Linked DNA regions of Lytechinus pictus. The protein of the gene in region 2 purifies or fractionates together with the protein of the main gene of each other region. This does not show direct contact. Links are inferred from orthologs where the notes say so. Each region holds a gene or a part of one and is shown on either strand. Other genes may lie near its edges.

Region 1 (3,935 bases), on a different chromosome or scaffold from region 2:
TGATTAAACATTGATTTGGCGCTACCCTAGAGGTTAAAATAAAAATTTCAACCTCCCCATGCCGTTACTTTTCCTTTTCTTCTTTTTCTTCTCCAGTATCCCCTTTCTTTCTCTCCGATTTTCTGACGAGTCCTTCTCACCCTTTCCCCCTCTCTCTCCCTACCCCGCTCTCTTTTTTAATATAAATCGAATAGTATAGGAATTTCATATGGTTATCATAGTGCATTGTTTAGTCAATAAGATCAATAAAATAGTTTTAATATAATATATCTTTAAAAAATGTAAATGTTCTTATAGATTATATAACAACATTTACATTAAAAAAATATGTAAGGAAAGATTAGGGGAAAATATAAAAGAAGGTCTATTAAATAAAGAAATGTGGGTTTTGTAACCCTTAATCATTTCCGCTTTTTTCCCCTTGCCCTTTCCCCTTTCTTTCTTATATTTATTTTTGTGTAAAAGCTTTTCAGTCTTTTCAGACTATTTAAATCGAAATTATAGGCAATTCAAATAGTTATCATAGTGCATTGTTTACTAAGTGAATAAGATCAATAAATAGTCTTTATATAATATACCTTAGAAAATGTAAATGTTCTTATAGATTATATAACAACATTACATTAAAAAAAAATATTAGAAAGTCAAAAAGGGGCCTAAGCTTTCGATCCTAGCAGAATCTTCGTCGGAGGCAAAATGACAAACATATAAAGTTAAAAAAATATGTAAGAAAAGATTAGGGGAAAATATAAAAGAAGGTCAATCAAATAAAGAGAAGTGGGTTTTGTAACCCTTTATTTCAGTGACTTCATTTCCCCTTTTTTAATGGAGAGAGGAAAAAGGGTGATGTCCCCAACTCCCCATTTAGATTGCATTTCGTGTTTATTCTCTTCCCCGTCCCTTTCAAATGCCTTGTGCCTTATGCCCTGTGATCTTGGATGGGAGCGTTTCATATAAAAAAATCGCCAGTGATTTTCACCGGCTGATTATATATGAACCAATCAGATGCAGGGGTTTGCAGTTGCTTAACCAAAGTGAGTAAAAATCACTAAAATTTGTTTCATAAAATGTTTTCACTCACCCCTTCCCCATATCGTTGGAAATTACATGTTGCAATCAATAAATATTTTTCAACATAGATATAGATGGCGCTATACACATTGACAGATAAAAAAAAGATAGGTAAATGGCGCTAGTGTTGTGTATACATGAATTCTAGTCAAGCGAAAAACTACCGAATATTTTCTCATGAAGCCTGCCAGAATGTCGGGTGTTACGCCGAAAAGGAAGGAGATTTACAAATATGAAGCCCCATGGACATTATATAGTATGAATTGGGGAGTCAGACCGGACAAACGGTTCAGATTGGCGGTGGGAAGTTTCGTCGAAGAATACAATAATAAGGCAAGTAAAAATCTTCACGATTTCTCATAGGCTTTGTACACTGCACTGCGATGATGTGTAGCTAGTCACACAAACTATGATGAGTGTGAACGTGATGACAGTGTGTGAATTTGAATTGTGATGTGATACTGATGATATTGATAAAAATGATCCTATTGAAGCCAGGCAAATGGCAGCTGGGGTGACCATAATTTGCACACGTTAATGTCAGCCGCCAGGATGGCTGGAATTTGGAAAACTTGTAGAATCTACTTAATCATATGCTTGTACTTGTAGGCCCCCTAAATGTAAATTGTAATTGTAGTTTCAGTTTGTACAGTAGGCCTAACTGTATTCTGTAATGTAACGAGCCTCAGAGGTTGGTCACCAGGCGGTCAGTTTTGTTTTCCTTTCCCATGTCATGTTTTTATTAATGAGTAATGTTAATGAATAATGTGCAGTGCCATTTGCCAGGAATGAAGGGAGGCAGCGTATCTCAGTTGGTTAGATTAGAGCGGATGTTTCGGATAAGATCGTAGATCTCAACGTGAGGGGTCGACTTCGAGTCCCGCTCATGCCGAAACACGTCTAACAAATAATCTGATGCTATAGCGTTGTGTGTTAGTGTGCCTCACCACTGTATTCATTGCAGGTGTGAATGCAGTTGGAAAACACTCAAACAAATGTTGGTCCCGTGTATATAGGAGAGTCACAACCTATGCCCGTTAAAACCAATACACTATTCATCAAAGAGTAGGGTGTTCACCTGGGGTATTGCACCTGCCAGTCGCGGTAAAATTCAAGTCAAGTCAAACTAGACGTTCATATGCCATAATATTATCAACATAATGATTGTGGGCATTAATGGAAAGACAAGACAAGAAAAATAGGTAAAACAATGAAAATTAGGGTCGGTCTGAACAATTTTTGTAGTTTATTTTCAGAACATTTTTTCTTTATTATTTCATGTTGGATTGCTAAAATTTGATAGGGAACTTTGACTCATTCATTAGAAGACACCGACACTGTCTTAGCATGCTATTACTACCTTGATAACCTAGATCTTAATGGGATTAAAAAGATAATTGTTTAAAATTATGTCTTTATTCTCTCCTTACAGGTTCAAATCGTAGCTCTAAATGAAGAGACTTCGGAATTCGAAGCGAAGAGTACGTTTGATCATCCCTACCCGACGACTAAAATCATGTGGATACCTGATAATGTAAGCAATATTCCCTCTCAAATCAGTAGTATCTGTGTTTAAAGTTCTGTCTTTATAGTATCAGGGACTCGGTTTTAAGGGGAGTGAGAGCGATAGCTCGCTACTGCTCGCCTTAATCCATTTTAGATAGAGGTGGAGTGATTTATCGCTCGCCTCAGTGAATTAGATTTTCTTATGACATGAAATGATAAATGCAGAAAAACTAGAAATCAGGCGATATCATACACATTGACATTTGTATTAATTGCTTGTTTATTTCCATGTATAATCTCTATTCTGACATCATTTAACCTGAACGATAGAACAAGAGTGTCGGTCAATGATCCCCTACCGCGGCTCCTCTTAAAACTTTTAGGAGAGCTTTTTATTGCTCCCCTCATAATTATAAAACTGAGTCCCCGTAGTATACATACCTGTAGCGCTTAAAGGGGCACTCCAGGTTGAATATATTATGATTTGAACAGATAAAATCAGACAAACAACACTAAAAATTTGATCAAAATCGGACAAGGAATAACAAAGTTATGGCATTTTAAAGACTTGCATTATTACTGTGAAACATTATTAGAAACTCTGCATTTCTTCATGAATATTCATTGAGCAAACTGATGATGTCATATTCCCTCTTGTTCTTTTGTATTTACATGTACATGTACATGTATATGAAATTAGGTTTATTCAAATTTTTCCCTCTAAGAACTAAACAAAATTGGATTACTGATTTATTAGATATGCTGCAACTTATTTCATTAGAAGGGAGACATATCAGTTGAGAAACAAAACATAAGTAAAAGGAAAGTGGGGATGTGACATCAGCCCACCTAATGAATATTCATGACTACATGCATCTAACTCTTTTCACAATATATTGCTAAACTTTAAAATTCAATAACTTAGGTATTAGTTATCCGATTTTGATGAGATTTTCAGCATTTTGCTCTGTGAATTTTACTCTATTTATTTAGATACAAATAATTCCAGCCCAGAGTACCCTTTAAGTAAGGCTGAACGTCTCTAAACATCCTGACCTTAAGGATTATTACATGTACATGTATTTCACCATAGTTATGATCAGATTGTCACATGCCCACACACAATGCACTTTCTCCACTCCCTGTGAAACAATATTGGAAGAGTTTCCAACCTCAATTGCTACTTTGGCTTTTTCCTCCAAATCGGGTATTCATTTAAAATCCTGTCTAAAGTAATGATTTGGTATGATGATGGGAATGATGATGATGATGATAATGATGATGATTATGATGATTATGATGAGGATGATGATAATGATGATGATGGTGATGAGGATGAGGATGAGGATGATGATGAT
Region 2 (3,935 bases):
AGGCATTTTATCTCTGATTTTTTTTCTGCTAACGAATTCTTTTATTTTCAATCAACCAAACAGGTCTGTGGATTTCAGAAGCTTAAGCCTATAGAGGTTGTTGGTAAAGATCGATGGTGAATTATTTTGTGACATGCCCCCACCCATTGCTACTCTTATTTTTATTATTTATAATTAAGTTTTCTTGTCTTTTCAATTTCATGGGGAAATTCTTTTCATACATGTAAATAAACAATTATTTTTTATATAATGCACGTACATGAACTTCAACGAATGATAAATGTTATATTTAAAAAAGAACTAGAAATACATATTGTCCCTGTATTTAACACTGAATCACTGTGTTTATTATTTGACATTGCCCCCCACCCCATGTGATGGCCAATTTGATATCAGGGGCCCGTTGCATAATTCCCATGCAATGGTAACTTGCATGGAATCCTTGATTCTGATTGGCTGTTGATCAGTATTGCCATGGTAATTTCATGTACCATTGGATGTCAAAGTTATCGTAACTTTTATGCAACAGTGCCCATATTCGTAATTGCTCATGTCTTTGTTTACCTTATTAGGCTAAGATGTAAACAAAGACACACACATCATTTGTGACAAACTATTTCAAGGCAATTTCCTCAATCACACAGTTTTTGTAAAAAGAACTGCAATTAAATAAACCACAGCAGGATAATGGACAAAAACATAAATTTACTTAAAATCAACTGCTAAAATACCAAATTGATTACAAAAAATGAAAACTACAAGAAGAGGCCTCACAATACCTGATAATTGAATATTCTGTGCATTCACGAATGAATGAACCAGATAAATTACAAGCCAGCAAGACTGGCATTCTCATAGAAATGATACACATTCTTCGTAGCTCAGATCTAGGGTTCTTGTTCTTTGTTTTCACATTGCACAAAGTACACTCGCCACCTTGCATTGATTCCTATGAAAGTTCTCCTCATTTTGAAAAGCAATTAATAGCTAGCAGGCCTTCTTTCAGTATGATGGTATTAAATATATCTTCGGTTTCACATTTTTATAATATCTAGTATTTTTGTGAATGAGGGAATATGGAAGCACCCAAAGACTTTTTCCTTAAAGCTGCAGTATATATTTTGTATCATAATCAAACTAACTTACCTCATTGATGTGTTTATAAGTCTTGATTAGGTCAATGCTCAGCTTCCTAAGGGGGGCATGGGTCGCGTCCCTGAACGTGTGAGGGATACGACTCTGCATCGCTGCCATCTCCTCCGCCTGCTGCTGCAGGATGGGCTCACGATGTGCCGCGTTGGGGCCAATAGGGGTCTCCTATAAAAAAAACGGGCAAAGAACATGGAAATTAGTACGTGGGACTGTACAAAATCATATGATGATGGCGGTAGTTATGGGAAGGCCATTAGGGGTCTCCTAAAAACAGGCAAAGAACAAACATGGAAACAAGTATGTGGGACTGTACAACATGATGATGGTGGTAGTTTTGTGAAGGCCAATAGGGGTCTTCCAAACATAGGCAAAGAGCAGACATGGAAGTTAGTATGTGGGACAGTAAAAAATGATGATGGCGGTAGTTTTGTGAAGGCCAATAGGGGTCTCCTAAACACAGGCGAAGAGCAGACATGGAAATTAGTATGTGGGACAATAGTAAAAGATGGTAATAATGGTGATCATGTTTGGAAGATATAGATTTAAATAGTGAAGATGAAACGGAATGTGATATCAATGATTAGGATTTTAACAGTGATGATGGTTCAGTGGATGGTGATGATACTGAATTTGACGAGGAGGAGGATGATAATGTTGATGAGGATGATGACAGTGATGATGATGATGACAACAATGATCATAGCAATGATAACAGAGAAAATCATGGTAATACTAGTAGCAGTGGTGGTAGTGGTGGTAATGATAGAGTTCCCAGCTTTTCAAGAAAACAAAATTCCCTGATTTTTCCCTGATGCAGTTTAATAATTCCCTAATAATTATTAAAACCCATCCCCAGTTTCGCATGTTTTCTAAGTTGTTGCAGTGAATTACACTTATTATCGCCATAAAAAACAATAATGTAAAACTAATTAGTACCACCATAACCAGTAATTCAAAGGATGTTGTTTTGATATGCAACAAAATATAACAGTCTGACTGACTACCGTGCTTTCGACTTTTGGGCTGATCAAAATTCCCTGATTTTTCCCTCATTTGAGGTATTTTGTTTATCAAATTCCCTGATTTTTCGCGGACTGGAAAAAAGTAAAATAATTTTCCCCGATTTCCCTGATTGGCTGGGAACCCTGGATAGTAGTAGTAGTTGTGATGGTGGGAGTGTATTATTACAACATTGCTTGCCCTACATACCTGTGAGGCTGGATGATTAGCTGGCTGTCCGTTGAGTTGGTTGCTCGAGCAGTGCACCGACATTTCGCCGTTCATCTGCTCCGTCAAACAATATACATCATCACAACCATTCAGACTACGGCGCCCTGGAAAACACAAACAGAAAAAGAAAAGATGATCAACCATTAAGCCTTACAAATATATGAACCCAATAAAATGTTTTTATGTGAAGGGGAATGAAACCCTTGGAACAAGAGGGCTTGTGTGGAAAGAGAAAAATCACAGAATAAGATTTCATCAAGTTTGAGAAAAATTTGACAAATAATGAGAAAGTTATTAGCATTTAAATATATTGAGATCACTAATGGCAAGGAGATCCCTCCGTTGGCAATGCGACATACATTACAATAATGATCTAAAGTTCAAATGACCATAACTTTCTTATTATTCACTCAATTTTTCTCAAACTTTTGTTGATCTGTATTTTATTTTTCTGTTTTCACACAAGCTATCTTGTTCCAAAGGTTCCATTTTACTTTAAAGGTCAAGTCCACCACAGCAAAATGTTGAATTGAATAAATAGAGAAAAATTAAACAAGCATAACGCTGAAAATTTCATCAAAATCGGATGTAAAATAAGAAAGTTATGACACATTAAGATTTCGCTTATTTAAAAAAAAACAGTGATATGCACAAGTCAGTGACATGCAAATGACAGAGCCGATGATGTCCATCACTCACTATTTCTTTTGTTTTTTATTGTTTGAATTATACAATATTTCATTTTTAACAAATTTGACAATATGGACCCACTTGACTAAACCATGTAGTATTAAACAATGCTAATTCCATATGTTCAGGGAGGAATTATTGTTGTTTCACTTGACACTGAGGAGAAAAATGAAATATTTCATATTTCATATAATAAAATACAAAAGGAATAGTGAGTGGATGATGTCATCAGTCTTCTCATTTGCATACCGACCAGGATGTGCATATAACTGTTTTGTGAAATTAAGCGAAACTTTAAAATGTCATAACTTTTTTATTTTACATCCGATTTTGATGACATTTTCAGTGTTTTGTTTGTTGGATTTTTCTCTTTTTATTCAAATAAACTTTTTGTTGGGGTAGACTTATCCTTTAAGGATCCCGGTCAGTGCTTTAATAAAAAACATTCTAAAATTAATTAAATCAATATAGGTTTAATGGTACAAATTAAATAATCAATTACATACATATGTTCAAAACATGAAAAAAAAATCATCAATATTTCTGTTTGAGGTACATACATTCTTTGTTTTCTCTATTTTTTTTTAATTGATCCTTGGACCCTGTTTCACTCAACCTTTGTTATCAATTGTAAGTTTGATGAACATTAGACATGGTTCAATTTGATTGGTTGAGAAGAGACTTTAGTATCATAGATCACCTGCATTTGTTATTCGGGGTTCAATAAGCAAAAAAAAATCAAATAAATTCAATTTGGGTCTACATGTAAATGGTAGTAAATTCCATTAGTACGACACATACAATGCAATTGTGAATCATTGAAGATCAATAAATGAGGTTAATAAGCCTATTGTTTACATTAC

What was found.
Region 1: the proteins of dual specificity tyrosine-phosphorylation-regulated kinase 1A-like (region 2) and DDB1- and CUL4-associated factor 7 purify together in Drosophila melanogaster (affinity purification with mass spectrometry; 3 studies listed by BioGRID, with this or other methods). This does not show direct contact. The link is inferred for Lytechinus pictus from reciprocal best matches to the Drosophila melanogaster genes mnb and wap.

The regions. Positions count from the first base shown.
Region 1 is NC_087250.1:7,679,321-7,683,255, forward strand, and holds the start of DDB1- and CUL4-associated factor 7, read left to right. Parts: upstream 1-1,164; 5' UTR 1,165-1,248; coding exon 1,249-1,404; intron 1,405-2,503; coding exon 2,504-2,605; intron 2,606-3,935.
Region 2 is NC_087252.1:26,485,814-26,489,748, forward strand, and holds the start of dual specificity tyrosine-phosphorylation-regulated kinase 1A-like, read right to left. Parts: upstream 2,484-3,935; 5' UTR 2,437-2,483; coding exon 2,362-2,436; intron 1,318-2,361; coding exon 1,147-1,317; intron 1-1,146. UniProt on the Drosophila melanogaster protein: Role in the specific control of proper proliferation of optic lobe neuronal progeny.